3 linked regions of the Drosophila melanogaster genome follow. Changing the gene in region 1 together with any one later gene gives a genetic interaction. Each region holds a gene or a part of one and is shown in the gene's direction. Other genes may lie near its edges.

Region 1 (6,029 bases):
CCGGAGAGTTGCAAAGAAATTAGCCGAGTCGAGTTGAGTCGAATGTGTGTCATGCACTCAACTTAACAGCGCCAACGGCAGGTGATTACCCTGCGTTACGCCCCAAACATTCTCTACTCTTCTGAAGCTGATAAATCCGTGTGACGTACACGCCGTCTGGCTGGTGCCCAACATGGCCGGCCCATCGATACGATTGCGATTCAGATTCATTCACCCGCCATGACACCGATGTGCACACGGTTTTCTTGGGCCGAATGTCCGACGGCCATATCGCTTCGGCACAATGTAAACAATGAGAGTTGTTGGGCCCGGGGGACCTTATCAGTAAGCAGCATAGGCGGGAAAATAGATAGGACGTTGAGCAATCGATATTCTGGTGGAATCAAAACGGCCGAGCGATTAACAGATTTTAAGGGCTTTAATGCTAAGCACACACTCCCTGATGCAACTTAATGGTACACTTAATCCTAGACATTCCTCAAAGTATTCCCTATGTACAAAAGATATGGCAAAGAGAGCTACTCCTCATCCTTGATGCAGTTCTCGACCAAATCCCTCAGATTGGGGTTCTCCATGGCCGCAGCGATGCGCTCCTTGTCATTGATTTGCTTGTTAACTGGGGAAACGTAATCATTTTTACTTAGAACACATATGTATGATAATAGTATCTGGTTGGTCCAACTTACTCTCTTCCTCGGTTTGATGCGCTCCCTTCTTGATGTATATGTCTAGCTTTATGTTGTGCGGAAGTCCGCGTTCTACTTTCACGCGTATACAGAGTCCAATAAGCGTGGCCAACGAGCAATGTGGCACTGTGGGGTTAAACTCGATGCGAACCTGAAAGAATTAAGAGACAAATACCATGCATTTCAACTTTTTACTACACAAAAGATTTATGAGGTGTGGATTTAGTATAATACAAGTACTTTAAGCTATGAGATCAATTTTAAAGTCATTTTGAAGCTAAATCGTTAATCCTTTCAAATATTAAGCAACAATAGTGATGAAAGCAAATAAACACACGCGCAGATTTAACTTATGATGAAATGATGATTAGGGCTCAAGCTTATGGCTTATAAAGATATTGAGTAACGTACAACTGAGACATTGGAGCGCGTGGGCGGCATCACAAAGATTCCATCCTCGTAGACAACGTTGAGGTCCTCCAAAGTGCACGGCTTCTCGGGATCGCGAATGCCGCGCAACAGATCTGTGTAACGACAAGAGAAATTACATAACTAGGCCAAAGTGAAAAAGAATGCCATTAAATATCGAACCGTAGATGGTTTCCTGCAGTTCCGTCTGATTCTTGTAGCCCAGTTCATGGAGCAGTGCGTCCTCCCCGAAGGCAATGGCCTCATCATCCATCGACATCTGGCTCGTTTTGCGCACTAACTCGTCGGCGTTCTGGCTGCGTCCGCTGATACTGGCGCTGCTGCTGCCCGTACCGCTTTCACTGCTGCCCGTTCCGCCCGCTCTCCCACTATCGCCGCCGCACGACGACGTCACAGTTGCGACCGAACTGACGCCGCTGTCGGATTCGGAGAGCTTGCGCTTTATGTAGGACAGCATGTTGTGGCACCTGTGCGTGGTGTTATCTCGCCTGGTTTTATCTTTACCGTTGTGTGCTTGGGTGATTACAGCAGCATAATTCGGTCGGCAGGCGATCTATTTGCTTGGTAATTCTTCACTTTTGCGGTGCAAATTGTTGGAAATAAGCGATGGCATCAGCTGATTATTGTTTTTCTGCCGACCAGGGCTGCAGAGTAGGTATAAGTGCTAAGCCGTCTTCGATAAGTCTATCGATAGTGATATCGATACCCTGTCATCTCTGGCGCAACCATTTGAAATTCGTCATCCCTGATCCTCTTATCAGTTCTTGTCTGCGCTTTTGTCCAAATATTTGTTGTTTACCCACCAATTTTGCCGGCTAATAATTGGAAAAAAATTTATTTACAAGCTGAAAGACTATATTTTATTATAGCAGCGGTAAAAATATTCTGCAAAAAGTTTTCACCTGCACAGTGGGCGTTGTGGCAAGATGTGGACGAGTTGCAGCTGTCTAACCCATCGTACTTAAGTCAAAAACCTCGATTAGCAGGCTTTGCATATGTCAAATTCGCGCACTTTTCCTAGGCCGTCGGGTGCATCAGGAAATTATTCATTACGTTTTAGTTAGTCGTACGAATTGTTTCTTATTTGTGAAAGCTCGTCGAACAGAAGCAAATTTCGCTTTAACCTTTTGAAAAATAAAGGAAAAAGTTCGTAAAAAGCGAAAGAGCCCATCGAAACCAACACGAAAAAGGAGTTCAATAAAGGTGAGCCCAAAAGAAAAGTGCTAAAGTGTGGTGAAAGTGAACATACATACATACACATAAAAACATCTGTGTAAAAGATGGCGCCACTGGAAGAAAACCGTTAGTTGTAGCTTTGGGTTTAATAGACTCTTGAAAATTCGTAGCCCGTCACTTCATATCGAAAATCTAGTGAAAGCGGTTCGCGTTTTGCAAAGGAAATCGGTTCCTTAAAAAAAAAAAATTCTAGTGACTCAGCTAATTTCGTTATCCGAATTTTCTAGATTGCTTTTCGCAGATCATATAAGAAAATGGTTGCCGATAACATCGATGCCGGAGTGGCCATTGCCGTCGCCGATCAATCCTCGTCGCCCGTGGGCGATAAAGTTGAGCTGCCGGCCGGTAATTATATCCTGGTGGGCGTGGATATCGACACCACTGGACGTCGTCTAATGGATGAGGTAATACCCCCTGACTGCCGTTAGATCGTTCGTCGTTCGGTCCTAACCCCACTTGCGATAAACCCACAGATTGTCCAGCTGGCCGCTTATACACCCACCGACCACTTCGAGCAGTACATCATGCCATATATGAATCTGAATCCAGCTGCTCGCCAGCGTCATCAAGTTCGTGTTATTTCGATTGGCTTTTATCGTATGCTGAAGTCGATGCAGACTTATAAGGTGAGTCCAGTGCAGTCCAGTCCATTTAATAGTGGCAGTCAAGTATTGAAGCATCCACAATTCAACATACAATATCCTCTCAGATCATTAAATCCAAGTCTGAGATCGCTGCCCTCAAGGACTTCCTCAACTGGCTTGAGCAACTGAAGACCAAGGCGGGTCCCAGCTCGGACGGGATTGTGCTTATCTATCATGAAGAGCGCAAGTTCATTCCCTACATGATCCTGGAGTCGTTGAAGAAGTACGGCCTGTTGGAGCGCTTCACCGCGTCGGTGAAGTCGTTTGCAAACAGCATCAATCTGGCCAAGGCTTCCATTGGCGATGCCAACATAAAGAACTACAGTCTGCGAAAGCTTTCCAAGATCTTGTCCACGACCAAGGAGGAAGACGCGGCTTGCTCTGCGTCCACATCTGGATCTGGATCTGGCTTGGGATCTGGATCTAGTATGGTGTCCGATTCGGTATCGATATCCCCCAGGGACAGTACCGTGACCAATGGTGACGATAAGCAATCTAGCAAGAACGCCGTTCAGGGTAAGCGGGAACTGTTTGATGGCAATGCCAGTGTTCGTGCCAAATTGGCCTTTGATGTGGCCCTTCAGCTGAGCAACTCCGACGGCAAGCCGGAACCAAAAAGCTCGGAGGCATTGGAGAATATGTTTAATGCCATACGTCCGTTTGCCAAGTTGGTGGTGTCCGATGTCCTGGAGCTGGATATCCAGATCGAAAATTTGGAGCGTCAAAACTCCTTCCGTCCGGTGTTCCTGAACTACTTCAAGACCACTCTGTACCATCGTGTGCGTGCCGTAAAGTTCCGCATTGTGCTGGCCGAGAATGGGTTCGATTTGAACACGCTAAGTGCCATCTGGGCAGAGAAAAACATCGAGGGCCTGGACATAGCCCTGCAGTCAATTGGCCGGCTAAAGAGCAAGGACAAGGCGGAGCTGCTCGAGCTTCTGGACAGCTATTTCGATCCCAAGAAGACCACGGTGAAGCCGGTTGTCAAGGGTAACAGCAACAATAATAACAATTATCGTCGTCGCAATCGACGCGGCGGCCGCCAATCGGTGAAGGACGCTAGGCCATCCAGCTCCCCATCGGCTAGCACCGAGTTTGGAGCAGGAGGTGACAAGTCGCGCAGCGTTTCCTCGTTGCCCGACTCTACTACCAAGACTCCCTCGCCAAACAAGCCGCGTATGCACCGTAAGCGCAACTCGCGTCAAAGCTTGGGTGCAACCCCCAATGGACTCAAGGTTGCTGCTGAAATATCCTCCTCAGGCGTGTCTGAGCTCAACAATAGCGCTCCACCTGCCGTAACCATAAGCCCAGTCGTGGCACAACCCTCACCGACACCGGTGGCCATCACGGCCTCCAACTAAAATCCAGTTCTGGTGGATCCGTAAAGTAAATATCTTATATTGAGATACTTCTGCCATTTGCTTTGTAGATAACGTAGTTAACGAGGGGTAAGCCTTCATGTAGATTGTTGATTAATTTTATGAATTGCGTACACTTGCTTGTATTTTTAATGAATTTTATGCATCAAATATATTGATAAAAATGTAGCCTTTTTTAGCTAAATGTAAAAGGTTTTATTACATATTTTCAATATAAACTCACAACGCTTAAGCTAATCATTCAAATCACTTTGGGATTTTCGGGATTGAGTTTCCTAACCGACATTTTGCCATTTCAGTATATCAAAAAATGGATGATCAAAACACAAGAAGACAAGGGCAGAGAATGGAGATTTAAACCACATACGAACTTTCTTCCTTTTAGAAGATCTAGTGCAGACAAGCTTTAAATTCCAGTGGAAGCAAATTTCCCGTGAACACAACAAACACATCCGCGCACAACTCACGAGCACGTTGGTGTATCGATAGTGTGAGTAAACCGTGACTGTGACGTAAACAGTGACTGTTGAATAGTGATGACACAAGCTTCAAGCGACATTTTTGAAACGAGTGAATTGTTAATCGAGACGTTTGAAAACTATATTGTCCAGCATAGGGAGGATGCTGAGCCCACTGTAAACTCAAGAGACTATATATCCACACTTTAAAGCAGCGTATGCTAGAAATAATGATGGAGAAGAAGGAACAACAAATATGATGTACAATTAAGAACTCGCTGCGTTTAGGCATAGTTTTCCCGGCGAACCGATGCACATCGCCGCACTCAAATGGGAGATTGGGAAAATATGATCCAAAACGAAACGCCTCGATGAAAATTTTCCATTGGACGGGCCTGTCGACGCACACTATCAAAACTCTATGAATAAAACCCAAGATCCAGGCCTGGTCCAATGTAGAAAACTTTCACATTGAAGCTAAAGAAAGCACGATATAAAAATACACCAATCTAATACAGTTAACCTTACGCACGCACACGCACGCACACAGAAAGCATATTCAATTCGCACACTTAATCTAACCCAACACTTGTGAACATATCCAGTATTTCAAGCTGTATTTCATATATGTTTCATATTTACAATCAACAAACATATGTAATATCTGCAAAGGGCGCGAATAAACGAACGATAAACTAACGAATCAACAAACATATGTAATATCTGCAAAGGGCGCGAATAAACGAACGATAAACTAACGGTCAGCCTATCGCGCCGAGTCACTGTTTTCACTCTCGCAGGTGCACCGCTAGGTGTGACCGTATTGCCGCCTGGCCTGGAAAGAGTGGGCCTGTGTGGATTGCTTCCATACCCATACCTGGTGATCAGTGATCACCGATCAGTGCAGCATCGTCCATTTCCCGGCCAGAATGGACGTCGATCCCGCAGAAGAGGCGCCTCTAGACGAGGCACATACGTCCATATACGACGGCTATCCGCCCGATTTCGGCTACTTCAACATGGCCCACGGAATGCTGGTGGAGATCTCCGAGGAGATCCGGGCCAAGTTTCCCCACGAGCCGCGTCTACGTTTCTCCCAGCTAAACAACCTTCACCTAGCGGCCCGCAGTGGTCAGATGTTGAGCTTCGTCGAGATCTTGAATTCGGTTAGCTGCAGGGCGGTGCAGACCCACCTGG
Region 2 (5,602 bases), on another chromosome or scaffold:
GTTGCTCAAAGGTCGATGACTCAGATCCACGTCCTCGTTCTTTAGTAACGTTTTGTATCCCATGAGGGTGCGAAACCCCTTTGATCTTCAGGGGCCAAGCCAGTCTTTTGTTGCACTCACTTTGTGTTGTGATGACATTGGCTCTGGCTCAGGAGAAGTGAGAATGGATCCCATGGAAACATCATTAGATCGCGTTACCTTATAGCGCGTTCAATGAATGGTAGTTATGCATGGACAGGCATGGGAAAATGATGTTGAAGGTGTCGCGGCGTAGGGTAAATGTCATTAACATCATTAATATTACTGTGAGTCCTGCACATCATTGGATCAGCGAATAATGAAAACCCTTTTTCGTAAAATTTCCATTTTTATTATAAGAGAGTTTGGGAAAATCAAATGCAAATATGTTTATGGGAAAATATTACCTCTATGAAACCAAAGGATGGTTTCGTAACCTTATATACATACATATTATGTACATGAACTATATAAATTGACAAAGGTTGTGAAGCATAAATATAAATTAAAAAGTAATGCTTGAGTATTAATATTCTATTGATTTCCAAACGATTTCCCTTGTCCTATGGCTCCCTACATTGTCTTTCTACATTATAATTCTTTTGCACAGCTGTGTGTGGCTGACCCACCCAGAATTTCATGCTTGTCTGCTTTAACCTAGAATTATCACCTCCCAGTTGCTAGAATCTTCCGGTCATTGTTTGCCATCAAAGGAACAACCAGCTGATTTCAGTTGGCAGTTGTGACAAACTCACTGGAGAAAAGAAGTGAAAAAATGACAGGATGCACAGGCAGCTACCGCAGGATCAGCAGGATATCATGAGGGGGTTCTCTATACAGATTATAGATGGCCGATTGCCCAACTGCCTAGCGATATCACATGAAAAATCAATTTTCCCGACGCATTTCCATTTTCCATGCAATTCATTTAGCCTCAATTCCATTCAACTCATTGCGCAGGCGCAACTCGCCCATTTCCGACGCATTTTCCTTTAATTATGCGGGCATCGGATTTCGTATCAAATTAACGAATTATGCTGGCTGCCAGCTGTGTTGGAGCTAACGGATGAGGCAGTCCATCCAGCCATCAGCTCATATCCTTGTACTCGTAGTCTCGCAATTCTCGAAAGCAATCGCATTTACTTGTAGTCCTCGAAGGAAAGGAGAAGCCCAGGCAGATGTGAGTGAGTGTGTCTCTGTTCGTCGGCAACGGCACATTTCCCATATGTACTTAAGCCGGGGAATGCGGAACCCCGTCGTCCTATCTCCACCCCTACCCATCTTGCTACCCCCACTCCGGTCTCGAACCCTCCTCGTGCTGTCTTGAACTACAATTGCAACATTTGCGCGCGCTAAAATGAAAACATTTCCTTTATATACACGAGGCCGACGTCTTGACAAACACACAGATAAGACGAACAGGGGATCAAGAACTGTGGCACGAACTACCACCAAATAAAAAAAAAATTAGGAGTCGTATAACTCGGCTTACCTGAATTCTAGATACTCTTAAAAGAGGACATTATAGAAAATATATAATATTATATGTTTAATTTAAATTGAAAAGTGGTTAAGATCAGAAGAATTATGCCGTCTGCAAATGACTTGTCTAATATTAAATTAACATTAGAATGTTTAAGGAATATGAAATTTTTGTTCAGCTAATATCTAAAAAATCCAAAATTGTCGTGATATTATTTTCTATGTCCACTAATTATTATATTCAATGTTAATGTTATTAGATTAAAATGAAAGTCCTACGAAATGAAAACCATAAACCATTTTTCGTTTGAAGATCTCGGAAATACCCAACCTGAAATGTTGGGTATATCCCACATAGGTGAAGCAATGCAGGATCGTTGAAGCGACCCCTGCTCGAGCGAGGGTTGTTTTCTTTGCCTCCCCTGGGTCTATCTCGTTTCCACACTCTATCCATCCCTTTTCCACTCGCTGTGCCAGCTGGAGGCTATGTCTGCCTCAGGGATCTTGGACAGAAGGTGAGCTCAGTTAGGTTTTGACAGCGGAACGCGTAGGTACAGTGAAACGGGTAGCAACGGGATAGCGGGTTTAGTGTAGCACAGAACGGACCACAAAGTACAGATGAATTAAATACGACTACAGACTACTACCATATTGTTAAACAGTTTACCTAAAAATCCTAAGGAAAAGATAACCAAATTAAACCGAAAGTTAAAGTTGTGTTTATGTTTGATCGTTGAGTTATTGTTATATCGAAAGTTAAACGAGCGTTGTTAATGAGACATTGATACAAAATCCGAAAAGAATCGTTACCAAGTTAAACCGAAAGTCCAAAAAACAAATTCGAAAATGTCTTTCTCCAAGGCCAAGTTGAAGCGTTTCAACGACGTGGATGTGGCCATCTGCGGTTCGCCAGCTGCGTCCAACAGCTCGGCGGGATCGGCGGGCAGTGCCACGCCCACCGCGTCTTCGGCAGCCGCTGCTCCGCCAACCGTTCAACCGGAACGCAAGGAGCAGATCGAGAAGTTCTTCAAGGACGCCGTGCGTTTCGCGTCCAGCTCGAAGGAGGCCAAGGAATTTGCCATTCCCAAGGAGGACAAAAAGTCAAAGGGATTACGTCTGTTCCGTACTCCTTCGTTGCCGCAGCGCCTACGCTTCCGTCCGACTCCCAGTCACACGGATACGGCCACCGGAAGCGGAAGTGGCGCCTCAACAGCGGCATCCACTCCTCTGCATTCGGCAGCCACCACGCCCGTAAAGGAGGCCAAGTCAGCCAGCCGTCTGAAGGGCAAGGAGGCACTCCAGTACGAAATCCGTCACAAAAACGAACTGATCGAGAGCCAGTTGAGCCAACTGGACGTGCTGCGCCGCCATGTGGATCAGTTGAAGGAAGCCGAGGCCAAGTTGCGCGAGGAGCATGAGTTGGCTACCTCCAAGACAGATCGGCTCATCGAAGCCCTGACCAGTGAGAATTTATCGCACAAAGCTCTGAACGAGCAGATGGGCCAGGAGCACGCTGATCTTTTGGAGCGTTTGGCCGCCATGGAGCAGCAGTTGCAGCAACAGCACGACGAGCATGAAAGGCAAGTGGAGGCGTTGGTTGCCGAGAGCGAGGCACTGCGTCTGGCCAACGAGCTGCTGCAGACAGCGAATGAGGATCGTCAAAAGGTGGAGGAGCAGCTGCAGGCACAACTCTCTGCTCTTCAGGCGGATGTGGCTCAGGCCCGCGAGCACTGCAGCCTGGAGCAGGCAAAGACCGCCGAGAACATTGAGCTGGTAGAGAATCTCCAGAAGACCAATGCCTCCCTGCTGGCCGACGTGGTCCAGCTGAAGCAGCAGATCGAACAGGATGCCCTGTCCTACGGACAGGAGGCCAAGAGCTGCCAGGCGGAACTGGAGTGTCTGAAGGTGGAGCGCAACACCCTGAAGAATGACTTGGCCAACAAGTGCACTCTGATCCGCTCGCTGCAAGACGAGCTTCTCGACAAGAACTGCGAGATCGATGCTCACTGCGATACCATTCGCCAGCTGTGCCGGGAACAGGCTCGCCACACCGAGCAGCAGCAGGCGGTGGCCAAGGTGCAGCAGCAGGTTGAGAGCGACCTAGAGAGCGCGGTGGAGCGCGAGAAGAGCTACTGGCGCGCCGAGCTGGACAAGCGCCAGAAGCTGGCCGAGAACGAGCTGATCAAGATCGAGCTGGAGAAGCAGGACGTGATGGTGCTGCTGGAGACCACCAATGATATGCTGCGCATGCGCGACGAGAAGCTGCAGAAATGCGAAGAGCAGTTGCGCAACGGCATCGACTACTACATCCAGCTGAGCGACGCACTGCAGCAGCAGCTGGTGCAGCTGAAGCAGGACATGGCCAAGACGATCACCGAGAAGTACAACTACCAGCTGACTTTGACCAACACCCGGGCCACCGTCAACATTCTGATGGAGCGTCTAAAGAAGTCCGATGCGGATGTGGAGCAGTACCGAGCGGAGCTGGAATCGGTGCAGTTGGCCAAGGGAGCGCTGGAGCAGAGCTATCTGGTGTTGCAGGCGGACGCAGAGCAACTGCGCCAGCAATTGACCGAGAGCCAGGATGCGCTCAACGCACTGAGATCCTCCTCCCAGACGCTGCAGAGCGAGGTATCGTTGAAGGAGTCCTTGCTCCACGAGCTGCTAGCCGGCGAGGCGGAGACGTTGGCTAAATTCAATCAGATTGCAAACTCGTTCCAGGAGCGCATCGATGGCGACGCCCAGTTGGCCCACTACCACGAGCTGCGCCGCAAGGACGAGACGCGCGAGGCCTACATGGTGGACATGAAGAAGGCGCTCGATGAATTCGCCACCGTGCTGCAGTTCGCCCAATTGGAGCTGGACAACAAGGAGCAGATGCTTGTTAAGGTGCGCGAGGAGTGCGAACAGCTCAAGCTGGAGAACATTGCCCTCAAGTCCAAGCAACCGGGATCCGCCTCTCTGCTGGGAACACCTGGCAAGGCCAACCGCTCCAATACCACCGATCTGGAGAAGATCGAGGATCTGCTGTGCGACTCGGAGCTGCGATCCGACTGCGAGAAGATCACCACGTGGCTGCTCAACTCCTCGGACAAGTGCGTGCGCCAGGATACCACCAGCGAGATCAACGAGCTCCTGTCCGCCGGCAAGTCCTCGCCCCGTCCCGCCCCCCGCACACCCAAGGCGCCGCACACCCCGCGCAGTCCGCGCACCCCCCACACCCCACGAACACCACGATCGGCGGCCAGCACTCCCAAGAAGACTGTCCTGTTCGCCGGCAAGGAGAACGTGCCCAGTCCGCCACAGAAGCAGGTGCTCAAGGCGCGCAACATCTAGGCTATTCCTTTGTAACAACTACTCTATCGTACTATTATAAATTATATACCTTAGCTAAGATCCGATTCGAAATATAATCAATACACGTTGCACACAACACAGCCAGAGGTGTTTCTGAAATCTCTTTCGAGCACTCTCCGACTAAATTCCAAATCTGATTGTTTTCTATCTTTCGCGTTTGTGTTCTGGAAATATGGGACTTACCTAATCTCATAAAAAATATCATTTTGATGCAATGCATTTTAAGGCATGAGAAATCAAATAAAAAATCTGAAAAAGGTGTCTTGGAAAGTGAGACCTTCTTTAAAGCTATTTAAATTAAATAGACTCATCTTTGAATGTAACGAAAATAATGAGAATGCATCAATTATTTTTTCCATTTATTAGCCAATTTATTCATATAAGGTCAAATTATCTGTAAAAAAAAAAAAGAAATAAAAGGTATTCTGATCTAAAATGTAGAAGTGTACAGTATCATCACCTTGAACTTCGTTCTTAAAATACGTTATATCTTGTATATGCATTTAAAAAAGCCTGTACCTAAAGAATCAGGAAATTGTTTACGTTTTTCATACCAACCCCGTGCAACTCGTTTTTGATTTCGATGTGGTGGAATTTTCTCATGCTGAAACTCCTCGTTGAAGAATGAGAAGGAAGGGGTGTGGGCTGCCATGCAATCCGATGGATTCTTGCGACGCTGATTACGCACACGTGTCCCTTGGCACCGCCTTATCCCCGATGGTTACTCGATGGGAACGGTTCCAGA
Region 3 (7,862 bases), on another chromosome or scaffold:
GATCACAATAAGCCACGACAAATGGCTCTCAGTGAAGAGAACATTAAGAGATGCGGAAAGTCAAACCAAAAATGCACAGTTGCCTGGGCACTGGGCACGTACAGGGTGAGAAAATGCGTGTGCTCAGTCACTGAAAATCAAAATGTACTTAGAATAAATACTATGTACTTCAAACTCTTATGTTATATATCAAGCGTTAAATATATTCAAATAAAAAATCAAAAAGTTATAGGAATTGTGCACAGTGTACAGCAAGCTGAACTTTAGACTGCACTTGAGCTTAGCTTTCGGGTACCGTAGTGCATTTTAAAGTGGGGTTTTGACAGCTTCAAAATTGTAAACAACCGAATATAATTTAAGTCAATACTAATACCCGTTACTTTTAGAGTAAAAGAGTGTTCTAGATTAGTGGAATCGTTTGTAACATTATAAGGTATTCATCTGAGTAACGGGTATCTTATAGTCGAGAGAATCGACTATAACTTTATTTTGTTTGTTTTCTCCTTTCAGAATGAAGAAGACATTATGTCAATGTGTAAATAAAAGCTTAAAACCAAGCACAAAATTAATATTTTGTAACATCCACTGTACAGAAAGGAACTTTTTACGGTTGTGGAAATGAAAAGCAAAATTAATTATTATAGCAAGCGTTTATTTGTAGAAAACAACGAATACATAGAGCAAATTAAAACGAAAAAGAATCTTTATTTTCAAGTCTTGTTTCGGCAATATTAAAACTCGATGAAAGCAAAAGAATTATTTGAACATTTTTGGCCAACAAAAATCCAGCGGTAAATAGTTCCTTTACCTTAAACACAATTCAATGTATGCAATGGGTAATCGTAGCCCAAAAACAAATGAAAATGTATATTAAAAAAAAATAACAATAATAAAAAATAAATGTTGAATAATTTATAAATTCAGTACATATATTTAAAGTGTAAATAAAATGATAAAACGTAATAATAAAACTTATGAAATATAAATTAATTGGTGTACATGCAAAAACAAGTAATACAAATAGATAATTATATAATAATAAACTGCATGCCGCCAGATTTTTGTAATCAAATCGTGTTGTGAAAGTTGTCTTCCCTAATTTATGCCCATTACATTAAAACATTGACAGGGGATTTTAATTTTAATTTCAGTATGGTTTCAATTATGGCCAATATATATAATAAACTATAACCATATGTATAAGAATGTAAAAAGCTAGTTTTATGTACATAAAAATGGGACAAACATTTTGATGTTACTGAATAAATATTAAAAGTATTAACCAAGAAATATGAAAGTAGGATAAAAAAACAGTGAATGTTTCCAGCTGCTAGGAAAAACGATAAGTCTTAGATCTATAAAGAGAATCAAAAACGCGGTCAAATGCATAGCACATAATATATTCATATCCCCAATAAATAACCCGAAATGTGTAAAGCCAGAATAAATGTAATAATAAGATTGAAGAAAACAAAATAGTGATGTAAAATAGCAGCAAGGAAATAAAGTAACCCCTATTCAATAACTATTGCTGACGTCTTTTACTCGTACATGTCATCATTTAATTACGTAATTTAAGTTTGGTTTATTTAAAGTTTGATTTCCGGTTGTACAAGGGTGAGCGTACTTTTAAAACCCACTGTATATAAATACTTTGGTAAAGTGCAGGTTGGGGAGTTTCAGAAGCTTGAAAAGCTCCGTTTCCCGTTATAAAGCTATTGCTGAATATCCGTTATCCAGTTGGCTGGCAGCTTTTTAAGGTTGTTCGTGCACTGGCTTCACTCCCCACAGAACACAGAGCTTTTGGATCTGAAGGTCAGTTGGGACTGGGACCCACATGCCGAGCTTAGTTTGATAGTCAGCGCGCTTTAATGACGACAACTGCACGGCGCGCACAACCCATTAATAATATATTAATTCAAAAGAGCTATAAAATATTAAAAAATATTCAAATATAACTAACTAACGCGCAGTGCACGATTTTCTGACAACAATTCAGTTTCGCTTTTCATGAGACTCCATTGCATTTTCCTTTGTGTTTTTCACACACGTGGTGTTTTTCTGTTACTCGCACTTCGATAGTGGTTATTTTTTTTGGTTACATTGAAAAAATACACCGACTGCCAGCCGAATTCCCATTCGAACCTTAATTTGACCAATTGACGGAAAATTAATTGCGCCCAAAATTAATTAGCAAGCGGATATACAATTTTTTTACGTGAAAAGAGCGTGTTATTTGTCGAAAAGATTTTACAATTGATTGTGTTTAAGTAAATTAACCTGCGATATCTATGTGTATGTGCTACGATCCGAATTTCTGACATTACGGTAAGTGGCGTGTTTTTGGCGGGAATAAAGTCGGTTTCTCTTTGTGCCGTATTTCTCTACCGTTTTTTCTGGCGCCAAAATGAATGAAAACGGTTGGCAACATTTCAAACTTAACATTGCAACATTCTAACCGCTGTTAAGCGTTTGCTCTGCAAATTGTTGTAGCTATGTTGGAGTTCTGGAACACCACCTCTCCCTGCGACTTTGTTTTGTTTTTCGCTCTCGACATATGGAATCGAATCTCTTATTCCGGGAGCGGTTCATTGACCCAGCAACAACAATATTCGCCAGATTTTCTCCTGCCAGCGATTTGCGGAATTCATCCGCTCAACAGTTAGAAGTAAATGCCGTCGAGCAGCGGGCAAAATCGATCGACGAAATCGAGAGCCGCGTTCAGTTGCCTTCAAGCCGTACTTAGAAGAAGTGCTGGTCCCCCAGAAATCAGAGAGATTTTTCCCAACTTGCATTTTTCCAATACTCTGACAAAGCCCCTCAGACCGTCGCAATCACACAGCTATATACTGATATATAGATCTCTATTGCGCAGATCACACCTTAAATGCCTTTCGTCGAGAGATTTCAACAAATACGTAATTTTGTTATGAACGTCTGCCTCGTCGAGGCCATCCAATTCGTCCAGGACCTCTCGCACGCCATCTGTCTGGACCTCCAGGGCCTATTTAATCTCAAGTAGAGATCACCGAGCGATCTCCCAGCGGTAAGTTACGCCATTGGTTTTTGGGCACAAGGAAGTGAAAGTGAAGACACGGGTGAAATTACGGTTTTCGGGATCTCGAGAGAAAGGGGAAAGTACGAACCTCATGGCAGCAGCACTCCATTTTGAGAGGTTATGTGAAAGAACACACAAGAAAGTTTGGAATTTTCGACAGGCGGCGAACCAATAATAATGTTGTTATCCATAATAATATTAATTAGTGAATTTTTATTTCACCTTTTCGCGGCATTATTCTCACAAATTTATAAGACAGATTTTCAAATTAAGACAGAAAGTTTTTTAATGTTAGTGAAAAGTACTTATTCCAGTTGATAGTTAAATACTATTTACCGCAAAAAATTAAAAGAGAACTAAATTTAAAGGTAAAATCGTTTTTTTTTTTGGAAAGTGCATTGCTTAAATTATGGTACCGACTATCAAAATAAAAATAATTAATTTTTATATGGTGTTTCAATATTCACTTTAAATTACCTATGACTCGCTTTCTAACCACTCTCTTCTTATTACGAACATCAATTTTCTTGTTACATCATTTCGGACCTTTCATTTTTCATCACCAGCTCATCCCATCAATTCAGATACACTTTACTTCATTAAGTAGCAGCAATCATCTAACAAAGCTGACCAAACAACGGACCGGCTTCCAGAATCCTTAACTGAGACGGACGTTTTGCTTGGTTTTTAAAACTAAACGACTTTTTGGTACCCACACCTGTTGACCTCTGACGAATTTCTCGATCCACTGACCGATCCACTGATCCAGTGATCATCATCATCATCCGAATTCCACAATGTTGTCCTGTGCCTCTTTCAATAAACTGATGTATCCGTCGGCCGCAGATGTTGCCAAACCGCCAATGGTGGGCTTGGAGGTGGAAGCTGGATCCATTGGATCCCTGTCCAGTCTTCACGCCCTTCCATCGACCACCTCGGTGGGCAGTGGAGCCCCCAGCGAGACGCAGAGCGAGATCTCCTCCGTGGATAGCGATTGGAGTGACATACGCGCCATCGCCATGAAGTTGGGCGTTCAAAACCCAGACGATCTCCACACGGAACGTTTCAAGGTGGATCGACAGAAATTGGAACAGTTAATAAAAGGTAATGCCTTTATATATAAAAATAATAGATTCCTTATTATACATTGCCTTTTTTCTGATAGCGGAGAGCTCCATTGAGGGAATGAATGGAGCTGAATATTTTTTCCATGACGTGAGTACATATTTTTAAGTTTTGGGCACCTATTAGCTTCACACTTTCTTTTGTCTCATTTTGAGACACAGAATGCCATGCCTTATAAATATTGAACATATAATAATATGTTTCCTATTCAATAGTATATTAAGTTATTTAGTTTTTGAGCAAAATTTTTAAGTTAATTGATTCATGTCTTTGTTTGGCAATCTGACTTTGCATCTATAAAATTTCAGTGTATAACCCAATTTGTTTTAAGATACTGTTAGGACCGACTCTTTTGACTTGATATAAAAGAATTCGCCATATATCCAAAACATATTCTTTTACTAGATCATGAACACTACGGATACTTATGTGAGCTGGCCTTGCAGACTCAAAATTGGTGCCAAGAGCAAGAAGGGTAGGATATTGAAATATTTTCAATGTTCAAGAGTATTTTTCAAATAAATCCCATAATTTAAAGATCCCCATGTGCGAATTGTGGGAAAGGTGGATCAGGTTCAGCGGGCAAAGGAGCGCATCCTTAGCAGTCTTGACTCCAGGGTGAGTGAGCCAAAGCATAATACAAACTTATCTGTTTTAATTGTTACCCATTTTTCTCCGAACAGGGCACTCGAGTGATCATGAAAATGGACGTCAGCTACACGGATCACTCGTACATCATCGGACGAGGTGGCAACAACATCAAGCGCATAATGGACGACACGCATACCCATATCCACTTCCCCGACTCGAATCGCTCCAATCCCACGGAGAAATCCAACCAGGTGTCGCTGTGCGGCAGCCTAGAGGGCGTGGAGCGAGCCCGGGCTCTCGTTCGGCTCTCCACACCGCTGCTCATCTCCTTCGAGATGCCCGTAATGGGACCCAACAAGCCGCAGCCCGACCACGAGACTCCCTACATCAAGATGATCGAGACCAAGTTCAATGTTCAGGTGAGTTCCAGATGTCGGAGTCAACTAAGTGTAAGATTATAAATTAATTATAAATTAATCATGGCATGTTACCAAATATTATTTGCATTTGACTATAATGGCTTGATTAGTTTAACTAATTTAGGTAAGATTTTGTAATATACATTCATACATACATTTAAGAGGGGGTATAGAAAATGTCAAATTTTTTTTTCCCAACCCTTGAGAGTTGTGATTATATATTGCTCCATTATAATTTTATCAACTGATGTTACATTAGGCTAATTTTGCAGTTGTGTTATTATTATATATTTTTAAGTGATTTAGAACGCATTTAAAGTAATAAAGTTACTTAAACGTTATTTTCGAATTTGGCAACCTTAAATTACAACCAAGGATTTTTGTAAACAGTTTTTTCGTTGCTCTTAATTATTATTGAATATATTTTAAAGATTTTTCCTCCTTTCAGGTCATATTCTCCACGCGTCCAAAATTGCATACCTCGCTGGTTTTGGTCAAGGGATCCGAGAAGGAATCGGCGCAGGTCCGAGATGCCACGCAGCTGCTGATCAACTTCGCCTGTGAGAGTATTGCGGTAGGTTCGAGAAGGATAACTCAAAATAAGGCTCATCAGCGAATCCTTTTTCCTTTTTAGAGCCAAATCCTGGTGAATGTCCAGATGGAGATCTCGCCGCAGCATCACGAAATCGTCAAGGGCAAGAACAACGTGAATCTGCTGAGCATTATGGAGCGAACCCAGACCAAGATCATATTCCCCGATCTGAGCGACATGAACGTGAAGCCCCTGAAGAAGTCCCAGGTCACGATCAGCGGACGCATCGACGACGTCTACTTGGCGCGACAACAATTGCTTGGCAATTTGCCCGTAGCATTGATTTTTGACTTTCCGGACAACCACAACGATGCATCCGAAATAATGAGCCTCAACACCAAGTACGGCGTCTACATCACGTTGCGCCAGAAACAGCGGCAGAGCACCCTGGCCATTGTGGTCAAGGGAGTGGAGAAGTTTATAGGTAAGATCTCTAAAGCAATGTGTAAAGTGTATGATTTTCGTTGATTCTGCATTAATATACGATTGCACTTTCCATTATTGTTTGATTTTTATCCCATATTTTCCTTACTTTTTAGATATATTATACAATTTAAGATATTTAGCAAGTGCTGAATTAAATTTCCGTATTAATCCGTTGTTGTCACCCTCCTTAGACAAAATCTACGAGGCCCGCCAGGAGATCCTGCGCCTGGCCACGCCATTCGTGAAGCCCGAGATCCCCGACTACTACTTCATGCCAAAGGACAAAGACCTTAATCTCGCCTACCGCACCCAGTTAACTGCTCTGCTGGCTGGGTATGTGGACAGCCCGAAGACTCCATCGCTGCTGCCGCCCTCCTTGGCTGGCCAACTGACGCCCTATGCCAACAACAATCACCTGTTGTTGAACGCCAATGGCTTGGCCACGCCCACTGGGGTGTGTGCGCCCACCCAAAAATATATGCAGTTGCACAACAGCTTCCAACAGGCTCAGAATCGTTCCATGGTGGCTGGTGGGCAGAGCAACAATGGCAACTATCTGCAGGTTCCTGGAGCGGTGGCGCCGCCTCTCAAACCGCCGACTGTTTCGCCACGGAACAGCTGCAGTCAGAATACCAGTGGTTACCAGAGCTTTAGCAGCAGCACCACCTCCCTGGAGCAGTCGTATCCGCCGTATGCCCAATTGCCGGGCACCGTGTCGTCCACTTCATCCTCCACCGCGGGAAGCCAAAATCGGGCGCATTATTCGCCAGATTCCACTTACGGCAGTGAGGGTGGTGGCGTTGGCGGCGGAGGTGGTGGTGGGGCGCGTCTGGGACGACGCCTTAGCGATGGAGTGCTGCTGGGGCTGAGTAATTCCAACGGTGGAGGAGGTAACTCCGGAGGAGCCCACCTCCTGCCCGGCAGTGCCGAGAGCTATCGGAGTTTGCACTATGACCTTGGAGGAAACAAGCACTCCGGCCACCGTGCCTTTGACTTCGACATGAAACGGGCCCTGGGCTACAAAGCCATGGAGCGCACCCCGGTGGCAGGGGAGCTGCGAACACCCACGACCGCTTGGATGGGAATGGGCTTGAGCAGCACCTCGCCCGCCCCTGCCCCGCTGGAGAACGGGGAAAATGGGGCTGCTGGTGGAGGAGCATCTAGTGGGTGGCGGCTGCCACCAGGACTGGGTTCCCCTTACGGACTGAGTGCCACCACCGGACTCCTGGACGCCACTCCAGTCAACCGACGGATGCAGCTAGCCAAGCACAAGGACATCCAGACTCTGCTCACCAGTTTGGGTCTGGAGCACTACATCAGTGAGTAGCTCCGCCGATCATGTCCGTTTTTACCAACTGTGTACTAGAAGTCTTTTATAAAGCTATCATATATGTCTGGCTTGAACTGGAGAGTGTTTTATTTAACGCAAACGTTTTTTCACAGTCATAGATAAAGTTACATAAAGTTCAACATCCATATAGCATTTAAAATCAAACTATTTTATATTTACAACCTGGGAAAACTACAGTTTTTATTTCTCCTTTCAGAAATATTCGTTCTAAACGAAATCGACCTGGAGGTGTTCACCACCCTGACCGAGGAAAACCTGATGGAGCTGGGTATCGCGGCGTTTGGAGCTCGCAAGAAGCTG

Evidence for each region.
Region 2: of exu (region 1) and mira, changing one suppresses a phenotype caused by changing the other (phenotypic suppression), as found in Drosophila melanogaster (one study listed by BioGRID).
Region 3: of exu (region 1) and BicC, changing one enhances a phenotype caused by changing the other (phenotypic enhancement), as found in Drosophila melanogaster (one study listed by BioGRID).

The regions. Positions count from the first base shown.
Region 1 is NT_033778.4:20,666,927-20,672,955, reverse strand, and holds exu (exuperantia), read left to right. Parts: upstream 1-2,194; 5' UTR 2,195-2,318; exon of another isoform or gene 2,319-2,320; intron 2,321-2,464; exon of another isoform or gene 2,465-2,578; 5' UTR 2,579-2,605; coding exon 2,606-2,755; intron 2,756-2,824; coding exon 2,825-2,977; intron 2,978-3,060; coding exon 3,061-4,356; 3' UTR 4,357-4,381; exon of another isoform or gene 4,382-4,604; intron 4,605-4,673; 3' UTR 4,674-5,529; downstream 5,530-6,029. Other genes in the region: galla-1, read right to left, coding at 519-616, 687-837, 1,098-1,210, 1,278-1,572; Fem-1, read left to right, coding at 5,762-6,029. UniProt on the Drosophila melanogaster protein: Ensures the proper localization of the mRNA of the bicoid gene to the anterior regions of the oocyte thus playing a fundamental role in the establishment of the polarity of the oocyte. May bind the bcd mRNA.
Region 2 is NT_033777.3:19,931,418-19,937,019, reverse strand, and holds mira (miranda), read left to right. Parts: upstream 1-2,021; 5' UTR 2,022-2,346; coding exon 2,347-4,836; 3' UTR 4,837-4,986; downstream 4,987-5,602.
Region 3 is NT_033779.5:16,040,200-16,048,061, forward strand, and holds the start of BicC (bicaudal C), read left to right. Parts: upstream 1-1,847; 5' UTR 1,848-2,328; intron 2,329-2,717; exon of another isoform or gene 2,718-2,875; 5' UTR 2,876-2,887; coding exon of another isoform or gene 2,888-3,022; 5' UTR 3,023-3,046; intron 3,047-3,624; 5' UTR 3,625-3,855; coding exon 3,856-4,162; intron 4,163-4,223; coding exon 4,224-4,273; intron 4,274-4,352; exon of another isoform or gene 4,353-4,588; coding exon 4,589-4,658; intron 4,659-4,721; coding exon 4,722-4,801; intron 4,802-4,866; coding exon 4,867-5,193; intron 5,194-5,641; coding exon 5,642-5,767; intron 5,768-5,827; coding exon 5,828-6,209; intron 6,210-6,402; coding exon 6,403-7,530; intron 7,531-7,758; coding exon 7,759-7,862. Other genes in the region: CG45084 (uncharacterized protein), read left to right, coding at 2,888-3,022. UniProt on the Drosophila melanogaster protein: RNA-binding protein that is involved in oogenesis. Required for correct targeting of the migrating anterior follicle cells and the establishment of anterior-posterior polarity in the oocyte. May act as translational repressor of oskar during oogenesis.